Arabidopsis thaliana: one gene and its partners. The protein of the gene in region 4 binds, or shares a complex with, the protein of the main gene of each other region. Each region holds a gene or a part of one and is shown on either strand. Other genes may lie near its edges. The genes, in order: RANGAP2, WIT1, RANGAP1 and WIP3.

The links.
Region 1: WIP3 (region 4) and RANGAP2 share a complex: the UniProt entries of both Arabidopsis thaliana proteins name them as parts of the ran complex.
Region 2: WIP3 (region 4) and WIT1 share a complex: the UniProt entries of both Arabidopsis thaliana proteins name them as parts of the ran complex.
Region 3: WIP3 (region 4) and RANGAP1 share a complex: the UniProt entries of both Arabidopsis thaliana proteins name them as parts of the ran complex.

Annotation. Positions count from the first base shown.
Region 1 is NC_003076.8:6,504,528-6,509,452, reverse strand, and holds RANGAP2 (RAN GTPase activating protein 2), read left to right. Parts: upstream 1-1,807; 5' UTR 1,808-1,925; intron 1,926-2,014; exon of another isoform or gene 2,015-2,021; 5' UTR 2,022-2,161; intron 2,162-2,478; 5' UTR 2,479-2,505; coding exon 2,506-4,143; 3' UTR 4,144-4,361; downstream 4,362-4,925. Other genes in the region: ARIA (ARM repeat protein interacting with ABF2), read left to right, coding at 34-173, 257-320, 402-481, 656-720, 840-957, 1,047-1,171, 1,259-1,358; AT5G19315 (Defensin-like (DEFL) family protein), read right to left, coding at 4,553-4,734, 4,855-4,915. UniProt on the Arabidopsis thaliana protein: GTPase activator for the nuclear Ras-related regulatory protein Ran, converting it to the putatively inactive GDP-bound state.
Region 2 is NC_003076.8:3,631,619-3,637,481, forward strand, and holds WIT1 (WPP domain-interacting protein 1), read left to right. Parts: upstream 1-2,030; 5' UTR 2,031-2,159; intron 2,160-2,340; 5' UTR 2,341-2,352; coding exon 2,353-2,950; intron 2,951-3,051; coding exon 3,052-4,241; intron 4,242-4,341; coding exon 4,342-4,521; intron 4,522-4,656; coding exon 4,657-4,800; 3' UTR 4,801-4,995; coding exon of another isoform or gene 4,996-5,306; 3' UTR 5,307-5,316; downstream 5,317-5,863. Other genes in the region: DXPS3 (1-deoxy-D-xylulose 5-phosphate synthase 3), read left to right, coding at 59-326, 411-667, 757-1,035, 1,120-1,404, 1,483-1,632; AT5G11400 (Protein kinase superfamily protein), read right to left, coding at 4,996-5,306, 5,395-5,504, 5,658-5,724, 5,809-5,863. UniProt on the Arabidopsis thaliana protein: Together with WIT2, required for the nuclear envelope docking of RANGAP proteins in root tips.
Region 3 is NC_003074.8:23,322,461-23,327,576, forward strand, and holds RANGAP1 (RAN GTPase activating protein 1), read left to right. Parts: upstream 1-2,018; 5' UTR 2,019-2,372; intron 2,373-2,625; 5' UTR 2,626-2,647; coding exon 2,648-4,255; 3' UTR 4,256-4,453; downstream 4,454-5,116. Other genes in the region: CYCP1;1 (cyclin p1;1), read right to left, coding at 683-947, 1,033-1,433; CSP41A (chloroplast stem-loop binding protein of 41 kDa), read right to left, coding at 4,546-4,728, 4,807-5,084. UniProt on the Arabidopsis thaliana protein: GTPase activator for the nuclear Ras-related regulatory protein Ran, converting it to the putatively inactive GDP-bound state. Plays a role in spatial signaling during cell division.
Region 4 is NC_003074.8:4,337,576-4,342,072, reverse strand, and holds WIP3 (WPP domain interacting protein 3), read left to right. Parts: upstream 1-1,626; 5' UTR 1,627-1,636; coding exon 1,637-1,811; intron 1,812-2,088; coding exon 2,089-2,958; intron 2,959-3,089; coding exon 3,090-3,601; 3' UTR 3,602-3,787; downstream 3,788-4,497. Other genes in the region: AT3G13370 (formin-like protein), read right to left, coding at 1-409; AT3G13350 (HMG (high mobility group) box protein with ARID/BRIGHT DNA-binding domain-containing protein), read left to right, coding at 4,269-4,453. UniProt on the Arabidopsis thaliana protein: Mediates and enhances the nuclear envelope docking of RANGAP proteins mediated by WIT1 and WIT2 in the undifferentiated cells of root tips.

The DNA of each region.
Region 1 (4,925 bases), on a different chromosome or scaffold from region 4:
CCAAAAAGTTAATATTGAGTTGTCTTTTGACAGGGTTGGAGTTGCTACTCGGTCTTCTTGGTTCTTTAAACACTAAGCAGCAACTTGACGGTGCAGCAGCGTTGTACAAATTAGCAAATAAATCTATGGCACTTTCTCCAGTTGATGCTGCTCCTCCTTCTCCAACACAAAGGGTGAGTTTCCTTTCTGCTTCAGTTCTCCTATAGGTAACGGGTGGAAGTCTCAATGCAGTATTCTGTATGTCTTTTTGTGACAGGTTTATCTCGGAGAGCAATATGTAAATAATGCTACGCTGTCTGATGTAACCTTTCTAGTCGAAGGTAATCATATATAAATCCAGAAGTTGTGGAACTCTAGTTAGCTTCAAAGTCCATATGTAAAACAGAAAAATCATACTGCAGGAAGGACATTCTATGCACACAGAATTTGTCTGCTGGCATCCTCAGATGCATTTCGTGCAATGTTTGATGGTGGTTACAGAGTAAGTGAACTAAATATTTTGGTTTTTCGATAATGTTCTTGTGGGGTAAATGATATTTTGATGACAATGACGTATGGATGTATGCTGGTCTGCTATTTATCAAAGGAATACAATTATCTTTTGGGGAAATTAGACCTGAATTGTGTCACGGTTTGTGTTTCGTTTATATCACAGGAAAAAGACGCTAGAGATATTGAGATTCCAAATATCAAATGGGAGGTGTTTGAGTTAATGATGAGGTATGATGAATGAACCTCTGCATGCTTTTGATTGACTCACTCGAGATATTGAAATTTCGAAAAGTCTGTGAGAACTTTTCATATACACGTAATTGACTCCCTTGGATTATGATTTTCAGGTTTATATACACTGGATCTGTCGACATAACAAATGAGATATCAAAAGATCTTCTAAGAGCAGCGGATCAGTATCTCTTGGAGGGCCTGAAACGACTCTGTGAATACACAATTGCTCAGGTGAGCCAGAATTATATCACAATGTAAAGTGATGATGTGGTTTGCGTAGTACTTAACGAAATCTGACACGGTTACTTTGAATATGAAAGGATATTACGTTGGAAAGTATAGGAGACATGTACGAGCTATCAGAAGCATTCCATGCGATGTCGCTGAGGCAAGCTTGTATCATGTTCATCCTGGAGCATTTCGATAAACTGAGTTCAATGCCTTGGTAATATAAACAAGATGTCACTCTCTCTCTCCACTAAGATTTGTTTTATTGCTATTAGTCTGAAACAAAAGTGAATGGAAAATGCAGGCAGAACGAGCTGGTGCAGAGAACAATACCAGAGATAAGAGAGTACTTTTGTAGAGCCCTAACAAAGTCTACTACAAACCTGCAAAGCTTGAGGTTGTAGAATGCGGAAGAAGAAGACTGCACTTAACTAGAGGTAAGTAGACAAGGAATTATATAGAGAGAAAGAGAGAGAGAGATCAAGAGCCGCCATTAGAGGTCTTTATCGTCCTGTACTGGGTTGTCTTAGTTATTTGCTGTGCTTTTTGGTTCGTTTTGGTCATTTTGTATTGTATTAATTAATCTCCTCTGATCACAATCGGTCTTGAATGAAATCGCTACCCTTTGTATCCAAAAATACCATTGTGGTATAACTTCCACTATTCAATTCAAAATCCACTCTCCAACTATCCTCTCTGTTGAGAAAAGATACTTTGGGTAGGTTGTGACTAAGCGTAGCTGTAACGATTTGATATTGGTAGTGGTGACCAGTGAGTTCATGTCTGAATAATTAAGAGATGATTCAACACAGAACATAATATCCCATTTTTGTTTTACAAATAAAGAATCAATCGAAAGTATTACTGATGATTAGAGACTGTAACTTGTAAGTATTTTGTAGCACAAGCCACTGAAAATTACATTACACATAAAGGAGTTTTCTTTAACATGAAAGATTCAAAATTACCAGGTTGGTTCTAATTAATTACGTTTTCTTCCAAAGTGATTAATTACTCAAGTCACGATGAATTATTAACCTTTCTCTTTTTTTTTTTTTTTAAATTAGTCTATAGAGACTTTTGGTTCAACGAACGTAGGAGGGAGTTTTAAAGAGCTCCGGTGAAGGAGAAACCCTAAAAACACACTCGATTTTGCAGCCAGAGAGAGTCTCAGAGCTCCGAGATTCAGACAATCTTCATCGGTCCGGTACGCTTTTCATTTCCGTTTATTCTCATCGCAAACGGATAATTATTTGTCTGATCCGATTTTACCCTGTGATTAAGCACCGATGTTCCTTCCTCGTAGTTGGTGATTTAATGCTTCTTCTCGAAACTATCCACTTATAGGATCTCCGATCTTTACGAGATTACTCTCCTTAATCTCTGTTATTGATTTAGTCACAGCATTTTCTGATTTATCAATTAGTTATTCCTTTGGGCTCAATGTTAATCCTCCTAAGTGATTAGTGATTACGATAGAGCCTCCTCTGATTATTTCTAACTTTTGTGTGTATGTTTTTGCAGTGATATTAAAACTCTGGATTTGCGATAATGGCTGATATACTTGATTCTCGACCTCATGCATTTTCGATTAAACTCTGGCCACCGAGTTTACCTACAAGAAAAGCTCTCATTGAGCGTATAACCAACAATTTTTCTTCCAAGACTATTTTCACTGAGAAGTACGGTAGCTTAACCAAAGACCAGGCTACGGAGAACGCTAAGAGGATCGAAGATATTGCTTTTTCCACTGCTAACCAACAGTTTGAGAGGGAGCCTGATGGTGATGGTGGTTCAGCTGTACAGCTTTATGCCAAAGAATGCAGTAAGCTTATCTTAGAAGTTCTCAAGAAAGGACCTGTTGCTAAAGTTGCGGCAAGAGAATTGATTTCTGAGGATTCTGTGTCTCCCCGCGAAACTTTTTTCGATATTTCTAAAGGTAAACGGGCTTTCATTGAGGCTGAGGAAGCTGAGGAGCTTCTCAAACCTTTGAAGGAACCTGGCAATGCCTACACTAAGATATGCTTTAGTAATAGGAGTTTTGGCTTGGGAGCTGCTCGTGTCGCTGAGCCTATCTTGGCGTCTTTGAAAGATCAGCTTAAGGAAGTTGACTTGTCTGACTTTGTTGCTGGACGACCTGAGCTTGAAGCTCTTGAGGTTATGAATATATTTTCTGACGCACTGCAAGGTAGTATTCTCTCGTCTCTCAACTTATCAGATAATGCATTGGGTGAGAAGGGTGTTAGAGCGTTTGGGGCACTCTTAAAATCTCTGAGCTCTTTGGAAGAGCTGTATTTGATGAATGATGGTATCTCTAAGGAAGCTGCGCAAGCGGTCTCCGAGTTGATTCCTTCAACAGAGAATTTGAGGGTCCTTCATTTTCATAATAACATGACGGGAGATGAAGGGGCACTCGCTATTGCAGAGGTTGTCAAGCGTTCCCCACTGCTGGAGAATTTCCGTTGTTCTTCCACAAGAGTCGGCTCAAAAGGGGGAATCGCCTTGTCAGAAGCACTTGAGCATTGTACTCATATGGAGAAACTTGATCTGCGGGATAATATGTTTGGCACAGAAGCCGGAGTTTCTTTGAGCAAAACTCTTTCAAGCTTCAAACACATGACTGAGCTTTACTTGAGTTATCTAAATCTAGAGGATGAAGGTGCCATAGCCATAGTAAACGCTCTAAAGGAGTCTGCTTCGCCCATTGAAGTTCTAGAGATGGCAGGAAATGACATAACAGTTGAAGCTGCTTCAGCTATCGCAGCCTGTGTTGCAGCAAAACAAGATCTGAACAAGTTGAATTTGTCTGAGAATGAGCTGAAAGATGAGGGATGTGTCCAGATTGCAAATTGTATAGAAGAGGGTCACTCAAAACTGCAATACATCGATATGAGCACCAACTACATAAGAAGAGCCGGAGCACGAGCCTTGGCTCATGTTGTTGTGAAGAAAGAAGCTTTCAAGCTGTTGAACATTGACGGGAACATCATATCAGAAGAAGGCATTGAAGAATTGAAAGAGATATTCAAGAAATCCCCAGAGTTACTTGGAGCTTTGGATGAGAATGATCCTGATGGAGAAGAAGATGATGATGATGAGGAAGACGAAGAAGATGAAGAGAACGAAGGTAATGGGAATGGTGAGCTGGAATCGAAGCTGAAGAACCTTGAAGTTAATCAGGAAGATTAAGTCTGTGATGTTGGTACTTTTCAATGTTTTTGTTTGTTTTGTACCAGTATTATTACTCTAGCTGCTGCTACAAAGACCAAAACATATTTGAGACATTGGTGTTAGTTTTATTTTTGCCGATAGCTTATTGGTCCTTTTTGTTTAAACACGATTGTATCGCTATTCTGAGGTCATACCTATGAGCAAAACAATTTTATATTCTATTTGGTTTGGTACCGTTTTGGTTTAGATACGATTTTAAACAAATTTTGTTAACTTGAAAAGTTTAAACTAACGTGAAAGAAGTTTTCAGGAGTGACCATTTCACATACTAAAGATATAATCAACAGTGAAGACAAGATTTTGAGTTTAATACTAGTTAGAATAAGCAATCGAGGATTGCAAACGCAAGCATAAAAACATATTTTTTTTAACAGTAACAATGGCATTTTTTTGCTCCACCAGCAAAACGTTTGCAAAAACCGCCTTTCTTATTATCACATCCATCAAGACACCATTTGTTGCATCTCTTTCTGTCTTGGTATGTGTTGCAAGCTCCAAATTTCGCATGTGTGTTACAGCACAACGAACTTCCGGATCCTTCAACGACATCTATAACATGCAAACAACAATTTTTCATCTTTAAGATTCACGTAAAGATCAAACAAAAACTTTTTATATAATACATCTTTGTATCCCCAAAAATATCAAAATTTATGGTGAGAGACTAACCAATAGAGAACAAAAGAACAAGTAGCATAGCAAAAGACATTATTTTCATGGTGGTGGTCATCTTCTTGATC
Region 2 (5,863 bases), on a different chromosome or scaffold from region 4:
ACTAAATATTTTGAAGCTCCAAATTTGGTGTTTAACAATTTGGTGTGGATTTTGACAGGCTATGACGAAAAGAATTGGAAAGGGAATGTATGAATGGGCAGCCAAAGTCGATGAGTATGCTCGCGGTATGGTTGGACCAACAGGATCAACTCTCTTTGAAGAACTTGGTTTGTACTACATTGGTCCTGTTGATGGACACAACATTGAAGATCTAGTTTGTGTTCTCCGAGAAGTATCTTCTCTAGATTCAATGGGTCCTGTGTTGGTCCACGTGATCACAGAGGGAAACCGAGATGCAGAAACCGTAAAGAACATCATGGTCAAAGGTATATCTGTCTGGTTATGTTATTTTTTCTGAGAATATATGCTTATCCAAAATCTTGACTTTGTAGTTTTTTTTTTTGTCTCAGACAGACGCACTTACAGTGATTGCTTTGTTGAGGCTTTGGTGATGGAGGCAGAAAAGGATAGAGATATTGTTGTAGTTCATGCAGGAATGGAGATGGATCCGTCACTTCTTACATTTCAGGAGAGATTTCCAGACAGATTTTTCAATGTCGGAATGGCTGAACAGCATGCTGTCACATTCTCTGCTGGTCTTTCTTCTGGAGGTCTCAAGCCATTTTGTATTATTCCCTCTGCTTTTTTACAAAGAGCTTATGACCAGGTTTCACTTTCCTCTAGCACAAAATAAAATTGTTCTAAAAGGTTTTTATTACAAGCAAATGGCCTTAGTGTCTTTGATGGTTTCTTTAGGTGGTCCATGATGTAGATCGGCAGAGAAAGGCGGTGCGATTTGTTATTACAAGCGCAGGGCTTGTTGGATCCGATGGTCCAGTGCAGTGTGGAGCTTTTGACATAGCTTTCATGTCATCCTTACCAAACATGATAGCCATGGCTCCAGCCGATGAGGATGAGCTTGTAAATATGGTTGCAACTGCTGCTTATGTCACTGACCGCCCAGTATGTTTCCGGTTCCCTAGAGGCTCCATCGTCAACATGAATTATCTTGTCCCCACTGGATTACCAATTGAAGTAAGTTCCAATCTAATCTTCAAATCTTTTGGTTGCAAAAACAGACCGTGGTGACACAAGAACTGCTTTATCATATTAGAGTAGATCGGAAGAGGAAGAGTTCTCGTAGAAGGTCAAGATGTGGCTTTACTTGGTTATGGAGCGATGGTTCAGAATTGTCTTCATGCTCACTCGCTTCTCTCGAAACTCGGTTTGAACGTGACTGTAGCTGATGCAAGATTTTGCAAACCCCTAGACATCAAGCTTGTGCGTGATCTTTGTCAGAACCACAAATTCCTTATCACTGTCGAAGAAGGCTGTGTTGGAGGGTTTGGTTCTCATGTGGCGCAGTTCATAGCCCTCGATGGCCAGCTCGATGGGAATATCAAGGTAGAGAGACAAATCAAAACCTCATGTTCTCACCTGTTTTTGGTTTTAAGTTGTAATTTTGCTCTTAACATTGTGTAGTGGAGACCCATTGTGTTACCGGATGGCTACATAGAAGAAGCATCGCCTAGGGAGCAGCTTGCTCTTGCAGGGCTAACTGGACATCACATAGCAGCAACCGCTTTGAGTCTTTTGGGCCGAACTCGTGAAGCATTGCTTCTCATGAGCTAGCTTAACCTTCTCATATGGGATTTACCTTCACAAGAGACTTAAAGAGGAGTTTCTTAAACAGAATTTGTAGATAATACATTCTGAATTCAAGAGCCCATTTGATATCCTGATTTTGGAATAGCAATCTGCTATGTATTGTAAATGTAGAGTTGAGAATTGACTAAAATAAATTCAATTACTTTTTAGGCGGTATCTCAGTTTTCATATTCTCAGTTAGTTGTTGTTGTTGTTGTTGTTGTTGTTGTTGTTGTTGTTGTTGTTGTCAAGTCTATTTGGTGTAACAGTCGCATGTCCCAAATCTGGAAACAAACAAAATATAGAACAGAGACGTGTATTTTCGATACTCGAGTTTTTTTTTAATAAAAGCATCTTAAAAAATTAGTAAAGAGTTACTGTCAAACAATATTCGTTTAATTACAAATCCGAGTCCTTCTTCTTCTTCTTCTTCTCGATCTCTGTATCTCTCGATCATTTCCTTCTAAAGGAAGCGTCTTTGATCTTAATCGTCGTGTCGTTCGTTTCTAACTGTAAGTTTTCTCCTTTTCATTCATTTTGCTTCAATCTCGATCGGAATCAAGTAAAAAATCGGAACTTTTACCTAGATTTCCTCAGGAATCGAAAAGTTCTTGTGATTTAGCAGAACCTCTATTGTTTCCGATCTCTTAATTCAATTACTTGACAAAAGTGATTATACTTTCTCTGTTGCAGTTATATTGAAAGATGGAAACAGAAACGGAACATGATAGAACTGTCTCTGTCGATGACAACGACAGCCTTGTACCTGAGCCAAGCTCAACGAAAGAAAGCTTTTTTGAAGATCTCTCGCTTACTGGGCAAGTTATGAATCCTCAACTTTCAAGTGCAGGCGAAGTTTTGACAAAAGTTGAATTGGATTTTGCTTTTGTCTCTGAGAAATTGGTCAATCTTAGTCTTCTTACTATGCAACTCGGCACGAGGGAAAATGATTTTGAGTCTTTTGTTTCTAAGAAAGAAGAAGATGAAGAAGAGCCTTCGAGTAATGTTGATGATGATGATGATTCTGCTGAGAAGGCATTGGAGTTTGATCTCTTGTCTTCAATTCTCAATTCAGAGGTGAAAGAACTTGAATCGCTTCTTGGTTTTCTCCAGAACGAGATTCAAAGCGCCCGTGTCATGATATCTCCGTTTCAACATGATGGAGAAGCTTTCTTGGATTTGGAAGGGAAGTTGAATGATACTGAACAATCTTTGGGTCAGTTAATGGAACAAGTAGTGGAAATGAAGAAGCAATCTTCTAACTTTCAGAGGTTATCTTCTGGTTTGGATGAACAAGGAAGCTGTAAGTGACCAATCTAGCTTTCTTTTTAACCTTGTTGTGATGATCACTTGGTGAGAAAAATTTCAGGCTTTAATGAATACTATATAACTTTGTTTTTGCAGGGTCTGGAGGGCAAACTTCAGTGTCTCAAAACGATGGTGAGTTTGGTGATCTGAGCGCTAAGATCAATATGCAGACTGCTGATCAGCAAAGGAATGTTTTAAGGATGCTTGAGAAATCTTTGGCTAAGGAGATGGAACTTGAGAAGAAACTAAGTGAATCAAGAAATACTGAACGAGAACTAGAGATGAAACTGTATTCTTCTGAGCAGGATGTTGTCTACATGGAAGAAGTAACCGAAGATGCGTTCTCCAGGTGGCTTGAGGCAGATAATGCTGCTGAAGTCTTTAAGGGAACGTCAAAGGAGATGTCTGGAAAACTCCAGATTCTTCAGTTCAATCTAAGTGGCTCTTTTAAGCGGGAAGACAACTTGAAGTCTAAGCTTGTTGATTCAAAGGAACGTTTAGAAGCTAAGGAATGCGCCTTGCACAAGCTTGATAGCAGCAATGCAAGACTTGCTGACTTTCTTGTGGCACAAACAGAAGGCTTAAAAGAGAGTTTGCAAGAGGCTGAAGAAAAATTGATTTTGTTGAACACTGAGAATTCCACATTAAGTGAGAAAGTTAGCTCCCTTGAAGAACAACTGAATGAATATGGGATTCAAACAGAAGATGCGGATGCTACTTCTGGTGCTCTGATAACAGATCTTGAACGTATCAACGAGGAACTGAAAGATAAATTAGCCAAAACTGAAGCAAGGGCTGAGGAAACAGAATCCAAGTGCAAAATCCTAGAAGAAAGCAAAAAGGAGCTTCAAGACGAGTTGGGGAATTTCAGAGACAAGGGCTTCACTATACATAAGTTAGCATCGCTTGAGAAACACTTGAGGGACTCAGATCTACAACTAGAACATGCAGTTGCAGCTGTTGAAGCAAGTAAAGAAAAGCAGAACTTGTTATATTCTACTGTTTCTGATATGGAGGATGTGATCGAGGATCTAAAATCAAAAGTTTTGAAGGCTGAAAACAGGGCCGACATTACCGAAGAGAAGTTGATCATGGTATCTGAGTCTAACGCAGAGGTCAACGAAGAACTGAAATTCTTTAAGGGTAGATTGAAAGAAGGGGAGAAATATTTACAGCAAGCAGAAGAAAGAAAATTGCGAACCGCCAAAGATATCGGGGTACATAACAAGATCATGAAAAAACTGGTCATGCAACTAGCTGCTGAACGAGAACGACTTCATAAACAGGTATTACCATATTCGTAAAACCCCAGTTCGCTGTTAGTTCATGTCCTTGTAGCTTCATCATCATCACAGTGGATTCTTAGATATAGTGACTTATTTGCAGATAACTAACCTGTCAAGAGAGAATTGTGTGTTGATGGTGAAGTTGAAAAAGGTTGGAAAAACTGGTTATATGGAAAGTGGCAATGGAAGTGAAGTTTCACCAAAGTCGGACCAGAATGCTTCTTCTTGCCATCAAGGAAGTAGACTTCAAGCCACCTTCATTTCATTAACTAATCCAGAGGTAACATAATTCTACCTTACAAAAAATCTGATCTTTTGCTGGCATCTAAGTGAGTTATACCATTAAGCTTTAGTCCAACAATCGAATATTATGAATCTAAGCTTGACGTTAGTAACCGTGGTCACCTTTTTGTAGGAGGAAGAAACAGGTTCAAAATCAGATATTGGAAGTGTAAGGAGATTAGATGTTGGAGCTCTTAGGTTCAAACACATTCTCGTTGCAATACTCGTGATCTTAATATCGTCGATAGCTTATGTTATATCCCAGCAAAACATGTAAGAGTCTTTAACTTTTTCCAAAATCTCAGTCTCCAGTTTTGTACTCTCTTTGTCATAGTTTACAATGACAGATTATATTTTAGTTCTTTTTGGCTACCCAGTTACAGAAAATCTGCTATATAATTAACCCCGACACTGGTATTTTGTGTTATTACAATATCTTTTTCAGTGTCAAGTATTAGTACCTCTCTACACATTAGTCCTTAATCTCTGCAATATGATTAAGACCATCCAATACTTGTTGCATCAATGGCCGTTTCTTTGTATTATGCGCTGTGCATCGGTTGATGAGTGTGCCCATCTGTGTCGCCGCATTCGCAGAATAATCGCTCCCAAGTCGGGGATCGATTATTTCCTCAATCTTATAATTATCTGGCAAGAAAGATGAGGTCCAGTAATCTACTAAGCCTTGCTCTTCCTTAATCTTTTTTCTATCCTTGGAACCCATTAAAAGTTCAAGCAAGATCATACCAAAAATGTAAACATCGGTCGTCATATCCAAAATACCTAACACATACATTACACAATTGTCTTAACGTTGAACAACGAAAGATTTTTCAGAATTTGTAAAACGAAAGTTAATGCTTTCGTGTACCTAACGATCCCCATTCAGGAGATAGGTATGTAAATCTTCCCCTCTTGAGACCTTCATCTACCAAGCTTCGTTTGGTTGGTTCGAGATAGAACAGTTTTTGCATTGTATTGCTGATGAAATCCAAACTTAGATATTAATTTCTAAGATCATAAACAAAAAGAGAGAAGAAGGATGGAAATAAAACAATTACCACCTCGTCAAGCATAATGTTATGCATCCTGAGTTCTCGGTTTAGGGGGCTGTTCTTGATCGAGTGAAGAAACGCGAGACCTTGAGCTGTTCCAATGGCTATCTTAACCCGTATTTCCCATGGCAATGCCTCTTCTTCTTCTGTTGAGGGAAACGTAAAACTATAGGTAATGCAATAGTTGTCTATATCTTAGAATGGACCCATTAGCTAGAAAAGATCTTAACTTCCGAAAATGTGACTGTCCAAACTTCCTTTGTGCGAGTATTCAAATACCAAGAA
Region 3 (5,116 bases), about 19 Mb from region 4:
ACGAAGGGACGATAGAAGTGAACACTGATATTAACCGGCAAAAGAGCCGAGCTTTTGTGGGAACCTGAACCAGAGTCTCCTGATGACATTTCTATGGCAACTCCGCTCGCCATGCCATCAACTTGCCGACGTCAGGTCCATGTCAGCACCTTTGACCAGACCGTACACCTACAGGACTTGCTTGACAAAAACGCTAGTGGGATCAAACACATGAAAGATTACCGACAAGAGGGTCATCAGTATAACGTTTAAGGAGTCACATGATGATCCCAGGGGCTACCACTCACGGGACTCACTATCTCCAATCGCACCACCGTCCTCTGACCCTAAGAATAGCAATGGCGGTGGTGGTTCAGGTGCTTGTGGTAATGTTGAGGCTCCTGCTACTGCTGCTTAACCACCGCCCAAGATTAACGATACTCCTTGTAATGGCAAAGCAGCAGAGCCTCCTGTCGCTAATGTGAAATGCAGCAGCAGATGGAATAGTTGCGGTTTGATGTAAAGTAGAGATCTATTTAGTAGTTTAACCAGTATCAAGGAAACTATATTATAGCAACTTCTTAAAGAATGAGTTGGTAGAAATTTTCAGATTTTCTACTACACACAATTGTCACAAACAATCAATCATGCAAAAGAATCATCACTACTAAAACACAAAATAATCCTATCTTACCCTTGCCGATCAGCGTGCTGTGGTTTGAGAGCAGAGTGAGTCGGGTGTCCTCTTCTGCCAAGTCTCTTTGTTGGCTCGGCATGCTTCTTTTATGGGCCACTCGATCTGGAAGCCGTCTCTGTTCTGCTTTTCTAACTGACAACAGTGTGTGTGAAACGTCTGAGGATCTACCTGAAGCTTGAAGTCAAGGGTAAACAACAACTCCATCTCCAATCTGTTTAACTCTCTCGTAGTCACACCTCCCACTCTTGCGTAGTATGCATTGTTGAAATACCTGCACAACACCAGAGATCAATGAATCTATGATTGAAGACTTATTTGCGTGTTGAATTTGATACCAGGTTTAGTGAGTAACATACCTATCATCGAAGACTTTAGCAGCTAACATGACAGTTGTAATGATAAGGCGGTGGACATTAAGGGGTTTGAGAAGGGCTCGGGTCTTATGGAGAAAGTGATCAATGTAGATATGCGCAATGACGAAGCAGGAGGGACTGCAGCAAGAGTACTTGAAAATGCGATCCAAGTAGTGTGCAATACTGATCTCAGGGGGAGATCTCCCGTCAAACACGGTAACAGAGTCTGGCGATCCAAGCAGAATCTTGTCATCATGATTGAGTAACAGAGATCTCTCCAGAGAAGAAGAGAGGCGTGAGAGAACAGTCGGTGGCTTTTTCAATCGTTTGCCCTCAATAATAAGTCCTAACCTGAGGTATACATCCGAATCAATGAAAGCTGGATCGGTTGCGAGAGAGTCCATTTCTCCAACGAATCTGCAATGAAGATGATGATGTGCATAAAAATGGTAACTTTGAATAGGGTTTTGAAATAGAAGACGTATGTAGAGTAAATTTCAAGCAGGTGAACTAATTCCTAATCAAGAACCTAAACCCTCTCTATATGTCTCCCTACCTACCAAGTACCAAGAATCTTGAGAGTCAAGAATTAGGAATAAAGTGGAAGAAGCTTACGAGAATAAAGTGGAAGAAGTTGGTTCGTGAACTAGAGAAGGTCCGGAGAATGGAAGAAAGCAGATCTATCTCCGGCGCTTCTCCATTGTTTTTTTTTTGCTGCTCTGAAGCTTAGAAGCTAAAAGAAGCCGCGAAGAATTGTGAAGAAGAAGGAAAGTTTCCATTATTGCCTTTTATTTTATTTTATTTAATAATTTAAGGGTTTTTGATTTTAAAATGAATAATAATAATAAATACAAAAAAGAAAGGACAGAAGGAAGGAGTGATGTGTGGTAGAGAGAGACAGTTCACCGTCGGCGAGTCCAGCTGGCGGTGGTGGGAGCCCACCGTGTCACCTTAATCATCGCTGCGCTGCCCTGTCTTTTTTCCATTATTAATTTTTAGCAAGAAGAAGACTGGGCTTTCTAAATTAGTTATTAATGGGCTTTGGGCTTTCGTGGTTAGGGTTGTGTAGGGGCTTAATCGTCATTTCGGAGATAGAATAAACCCTAATCTCCATGGATGGGCTCTCCGATGTTTGTCTTTTTGATTTTTGAAATTTGATTTTCAAAAATAAACTAAAGCATCATTGCCTCCCATTATCGTCACGCACGCAGATCAATGATTCTCTCACTCTGCTTCTCATTCACGCTTCTTCTTTGAATTCACTTTTCTATTCCTTTCTTTTTCTCCGTCCGAGAGAGTATAGAGAGACCCATTTCTTCGATCCATCCGCTGAGAAAAAAAAGGTACCGTCGTATTGTTCTCTCATGTTTCTGGGTTTCTTTTTGTTTCGAAATATATTCTTCTCGTTTGCAGTGTGATTTTGAGGGTTTCCTTGTCTAAAAAATGCAGTTTTTAATTAATGGATTTACAATAGAAATGTAGTTAGATTCTTCGACACCATCTTCGTTTTCGATTGGATCTACATGTTATGCTCTCTCTTTTTCCTTGGAATACTATGTCAGATTGAGTAATGGTTGTCCTTGTATTGAATTACAGAAGAAAACCAAGCAGTAGTAGAATGGATCATTCAGCGAAAACCACACAGAACCGTGTTTTGTCAGTGAAGATGTGGCCACCGAGTAAGAGTACCCGTCTCATGCTTGTTGAGCGGATGACCAAGAACATTACCACCCCTTCCATCTTCTCCAGGAAGTACGGTCTTTTGTCTGTTGAAGAGGCTGAGCAAGACGCCAAGCGCATTGAAGATTTGGCCTTTGCTACTGCCAACAAACACTTCCAGAACGAGCCTGATGGTGATGGCACTTCTGCTGTTCACGTCTATGCTAAAGAATCCAGCAAGCTCATGCTTGATGTCATCAAACGTGGTCCACAGGAAGAATCCGAGGTTGAGGTGAGCAAGGATGGTGATGTCTTTTTTGATATATCTGGTGGGAGCAGAGCTTTTATTGAAGAAGAGGAGGCACGCGACCTTTTGAGGCCTCTGGCTGACCCGCGTAACTCCTATACCAAAATCCGTTTTAGCAACAGGAGTTTTGGGTCTGAAGCAGCCAAATTTGCTGCGAGCGTTTTGTCTTCCATCAAGGATCAGCTGACGGAAGTGGATCTCTCGGATTTTGTTGCAGGAAGACCAGAGGCTGAAGCGCTTGAAGTCATGAATATGTTTTCATCTGCTTTAGAGGGTTCTAAGCTTAGGTATCTGAATCTCTCGGACAATGCTTTGGGAGAAAAGGGAATTAGGGCATTTGCTTCTCTCATCAATTCTCAGCATGACTTGGAGGAGCTCTATCTGATGAATGATGGCATTTCCGAGGATGCTGCACGTGCAGTTCGTGAGCTTCTCCCTTCTACTGACAAAATCAGGGTTCTTCAGTTTCATAACAACATGACAGGAGATGAAGGAGCAACTGCCATTGCAGAGATTGTCAGGGAGTGTCCATCTTTGGAAGATTTCCGGTGTTCATCTACAAGGATTGGTTCAGAAGGTGGTGTTGCACTAGCTGAAGCACTTGAACACTGTAGCCACTTGAAGAAACTTGATCTTCGTGACAACATGTTTGGAGTCGAAGGTGGAATTGCCCTGGCCAAGACTTTATCAGTCTTGACTCATTTAACCGAGATCTATATGAGTTACCTGAACTTGGAGGATGAGGGAACAGAGGCACTTTCTGAAGCTCTACTTAAGTCCGCCCCTTCTCTTGAAGTTCTAGAATTGGCTGGTAACGACATTACTGTAAAATCCACTGGAAATTTGGCAGCTTGCATCGCCTCCAAACAGTCTCTTGCAAAGCTGAATTTATCTGAGAATGAACTCAAAGACGAAGGGACTATCTTAATTGCAAAGGCAGTTGAAGGTCATGATCAGTTAGTTGAAGTTGACCTGAGCACCAACATGATCAGAAGAGCTGGGGCAAGGGCCTTGGCACAAACTGTTGTGAAGAAAAATACTTTCAAGCTTCTGAACATCAATGGAAACTTCATATCTGAGGAAGGTATTGACGAGGTAAATGACATGTTTAAGGACTGTCTGGACAAGCTTGTTCCTTTGGACGACAATGACCCTGAAGGAGAAGATTTTGAAGATGAAGACGAAGAGGAGGAAGGCGAAGATGGCAATGAATTGGAATCAAAGCTTGGAAGTCTGAAAATCAAGCAAGGGGAGGAATGATGTGATGCTTTTGTTGCTATGTAGGTAGGTTCAGTGTTATCTCTCTTTCTGGATTCGGTAAACATAGTTAAGTAGGTATCTAAGGATCTAAGATTGTCTTCAGATTTATTTCCTTGAAGCGAAATTGTTATCTTCGTGTAAACCAGAATTGTTGTTGGTCTTTTGGTTATGAATATTTAAATGATCTTTTAGCTGAAATCATGTTCATCTCATATGAGCCGTGGGAAATGAAAGAGCACAGTGTAGCATAAGAAGTTACAAATGAAGAACAAACTTTATGGCGTATTTGATCAAGCGGCCACTGGAGTTTTGAGGGCTTCGAGTATCTTATCGTCTAACTCAAACTTAATCTCTTTCTTGTCTCTGCCAATCTTCACATACTCTTCGAATCTCTCCTTGAGATCTTCAGGCAGATTCGTTTTACTCTCCCACCCTAATAAGTCCTTAGCGGCTCTTGGCTCTGCGTAGAAATGCTGCGACCATACAAAGACAAGTTTGTAAAGCTACTAATGAATGAAGTAGGAGAAGAGCTTCTACAGGGTTTCGTTTACCATGTTTCTGAATAGAAAAGCCTTCTTGGCGTCAACCCCAATGGCTTTAGGGTCATAATGAACGATCTCAACAGTTTTGCCAGCAGCGGCAGCACAGAGCTTGGCCATACCGTCAAGAGTAACGGCTCTGTCGCTAACGCAGTTGAAGATGTTGCCGGAAGCAGCCTCTGGGTTGGCAACGGCAGAAGTAAGCATGGAAGACAAGTCCCTCACGTGGGATATGTTGGTTAGCTGCAATCCTGATCCTGGGATTGGCACTGCTCTGTCCCTCACAATCCCTGGGAACACATTTCAACCATTACGTGTTTTT
Region 4 (4,497 bases):
TATTCATCGATACCTTTGGTGGTGATGGTGCACTTTTATAATCTCCGTAGATTATATTCATCGGTACCTTTGGTGGTAAAGGTGCATCGTGACCTTTACCTGAATCATCAGGTCCACTTTTATAACCTCCGTAGATTATATTCATCGGTACCTTTGATGGTAAAGGTGCATCGTGACCTTTACCTGAATCATCAGGTCCACTTTTATAACCTCCGTAGTTTATATTCATCAGTATCTTTGGTGGTAAAGGTGTATCGTGACCTTTACCTGAATCATCAGGTCCACTTTTATAACCTCCGTAATTTATATTCATCGGTATCTTTGGTGGTAAAGGTGCATCGTGACCTTTACCTGAATCATCAGGTCCACTTTTATAACTTCCGTAGATTATATTCACAGGAACCTTCATCGTTTTTATGAGCGGGTTAGTTTCTCCCATGACTGGTGGATTCAAACTTCTTGCATGGGCATAAGGTCCACGACACACAAAACAAGTGATAAGGGATATGAAAACTATTTTGGGAATCAAACAAGACATGGTGGGAGGCATCAACATTATTCGAGGTTTTTTTTAGGACTAGGAAATGGGGATGTGAAAATTGAAATTGGTAGAAAAAAAGAAGAAGAAGAAGTTGTCTTTTTTTTTGTTGATAGAAAATGATTGTTACAACTTACAATATATTAAAAATGTGAGTATTTGTATGTATATATAATAGATTATTGATTCACTCAAAACATATAATGTATTGTTATAATGTTTAATAATGATATGAATTATGTTAAAAAATAAATATTGTCTCAAACACAATATATCTAATCATAATTACTGTCTTAAACTATAGATGATATACAATAGTTACTTATGACAAAGTTTATCATTTTCAATTTTATTAGTACAAAATCAAATATTTTCATAGATATCAGTAAAAATACTATTTTGACAATTAACAATATTAAAATAAAATAAATTTTGTGGATATTGTAGATTCTAAAGTAAAATAACTATAATAAATTTTAAAATAAATGGTAATCACATTTTGTTACATGTTACTAAAATACTTAATTTATATTTAATGAATCAGTTTATCTGTCCATATTTTAAAATTTCACTAAAATTTTCAGAAATGTTTTGGAATTAGATTTCAGATTGTAAATAGTTTTCACTAACTTTTAATTATATAAATATATTAAATATTTACCCATTTCCTCAACAGAATGGAGATTTTACATTTATAAAACAATTCCATACTTCAAGAATTAGCATTTATTTATTTATTTTTTAAATCTGTTTTATACAAAAAATAGATAAAAAAATCATTTTAAGGAGTTGATTTTTTTAATGATTTGTAAATGTTCAAATCTGCATAAAACATTATTTTGATTTTTGAATATGATACCAAATAAATCTTTTAAATTTTAAAATAGAAAAATCACACTTTTCATTATTTTGAAAATATTTAAGTCTAGTTTTAATGGGCCTTATCAGGCCAACATGTTGGGCTCATATACACACTTTAATTCCGACATGTTGTGTACTCCAGATCGGACGGCCAGCTTGGCGCACTGGGTTTATGTCATGTGGGTCCCACGTATGATTCGCACCATCTTCATTATTTTTTCTCTTTCTTTATCTTTAATGTTTTTTTTTTCCTGTGTCTGTAGAATCATTTCGTCCACTTTAATCATTTTCGTTGATACAGCTTCTCCCGGTAATAATGTCGGCGGATTTCTCCGTCGCACTCTAAATTCTTTAGGATTTTGTTTCTCTTGCTCATCTGTAACTCAGGCAAGCTCTCGTTGGATTGTTTTAGGTACGCTTTAAATATTGATTCGAGTCGCTTCTCTCTGTTTTCATTAATTTTGTTTTTTCAAAAAATTTCTGGACTTGATTAGATGAGATTGTTGAATTGTGAATTGAGTTTTGTTCATTGTTGTTTCGGTAGATGAGGTTAGAATAACACTATACATCAGTTCTTTCTTTTGAAGTAGTGAGCTGAATCTAGTTCTTTAGCTGTTGGAAATTTTCAGATTTGTGTCTCTGATGACAGAGAATTTGATACCTTTTTTTTTGTTGTGAAATGGATTTAGGCATGAATGAGTCAGTCCCTGATTCTGTGGAAGACAACGGTAATTCAGTCCCTGCAAATGGATTATTAGTATTGCCTGATAATGATCATGAGGAAGGAGGTGTTGGATCACCTCAACGATCGAACAGCGTTGAATCTCCTGGTGGATCAGTACATTCTACGAGGAAAGGTTTTGGTTTGAAGAAATGGAGACGGATCAAAAGAGATGGTCCTGTGAGAGATGAGGCTGCTCCTGTTGATGATGGTAGTAAGTTACTGAAACGTGGATTGGCTGGTTTGGTGAATCCTCCTTCTAAACATGTAGAATTTTCTTCAGTTGAAGCAAGGCAGAGTAGTGAAGGCTCTGTTGGGTCAGTGAATATGGTGCATCATCCAGGGGTAGCCAACGGGTTTAGTCCCGATATAGGTTGTATGTTTGCTGTTGGGCAAGCGTTTGAGAAAAGTGAAGAGCATAGTGGTAATACCATAGGTGGAAAGAATGTAGTAGGAGGGAAGGTTGTTTCAGGTAGCCAAGAGAAACTCTGGAGTGATACCATCAAGAGGGCTAGCGAAGAGCGGGGGGATATCGAGAAGGAGAAGCCTTGTTCCAGCTTGGATTCCGACTTGAGAAGTAGTGATTTTGTGTTTTCGACTGGCTCGGTTTCTGTTGGTAACCATGGAGAGAAAGATGAGAGATTGACGATGAATTATATTGGGGGATTTAGCAATGAAGGTCAAGTTAAGGAGGAAGTTCAAACATATAGCAGAAGCGAAAACGGGAATAAAGAAGACGATGGAGAGAGTAAGAAAAACAACAATCATTGGGCAGATAAAGACGCACTTGCAGATTCTATCAGAAGCTTTGCAGTTCTGCAGGAAGTTCTTTGGAAAGGTTTGCACACGAACCTTGATTTTTGATATCCATGTGAATTGTTTCAATGTTCATGTCCTAAAGCTCCCATGTTTATATTATCAATGTTACATGATATTTCTAAACTAACTATGCGATTGAAACGTGTGCAGAGGTTCAAAGTTTCCAGGAGCTAGGTAAGGAATCTGTACTACTACATTCGAACACCGATGAATTGAGTTCAGACCAGCCAAGTCATCAAAATTGTAAAGAAGATAACTCAACATCCTCAGGATCAAAGGCACTGATCTTGAAGGAGAAGGTAAAACTTCTGGAACACAAACTCGAGGAAGCGAGAGCTGCTCTCGAGGCAAAGGAAGCTAGGATCCAAGAACTCGAAAACTCAAAGATTGAATCTGAACTTGAATGCATCTTCCAGAGAAAGATTGAAACTGAAATCGAACATTTGATGCTCACAAGATCTCTGAGTTCACTACAAGTACTCCAAGAAACTAAGAAGTTACATTCTCTGAAAGAAGATCCTGTATCAAACCGTGGAAACATCTTAGGAAAAACATGTAAGCTCGGTTTCTATATCTTGACACAATTGATCTTGCTCGTCTCTATACTTCGGTTTCTCGTCCTACAATTCTCTCCTGCTTCACGATTAGTAATACCAACTTGAAAAATTCCTTCTCCTTGTTGTGTTACCGAACATTTTTTTTGTTTCTCCAGATTGTAATAAATAAGGTCTCTCAAGGATATTGTCCCCATTGTTATAGTTAAATTACGATGTTTAAATTTCCCATCAACAACTAAAGAGACATTATTATTTTGTGAACTAGATTTTTGATATCGAATCCGATCACCGGTTATAATGGTTTGCCGACGGTTTTTGTGATTTGACTCAAGAGTGTAATAAAACCTTAACTTAAATCTTGGTTTTTGATTCAATCTAGATTCGGTTAATCAACCGGTCCGGTCTGGTTTTTAAAACAATAGGCCATTGTTGTAGGGAGTAGTTTAATCGGGGCAGAGGCTTATGCTATGGGCTTGGACTCTCAGGTTTCGTCTTAAACCTAATCAAAGTAATTTAAGCCGAAAACGGAAGGAACTAAAATTGGTGTCTTGACTAAAAATAATATAAAGGACATAAAATTAAAGTCCCCAGATAAAAGTTTGTATGATTTAGGGCAAAATCTCAGAAGATAAAATCATTCAAATTTGTGTGAATTTCGTTTAATCCTTATCCAATTTGTCCCAATTTATAATCTTATAAGAAAAATAAAAATCTGAAATACGGTGGTCTCAATTGCTCTTACCTTTACCAAGACGGCCATAAGAAAAAAAAGATGTCGACCGATATTTCACCACCCTACTCTCAAACTCACGTGGAGCCCGTTAATGGTTATCCTTCTGACAACAAGAGATGCGACGATTCCTCTGTTCCTGCCAAATATGATGATCTTGTCCGTAACTCTGCTCTCTTCTGGGAAAAGCTCCGAGCTTTCCTCGGATTAACCAGCAAGACTTTGAAGTCAGTTTCTTTCTTACCCTTTTCACATTTTTGTGAGACCTTTT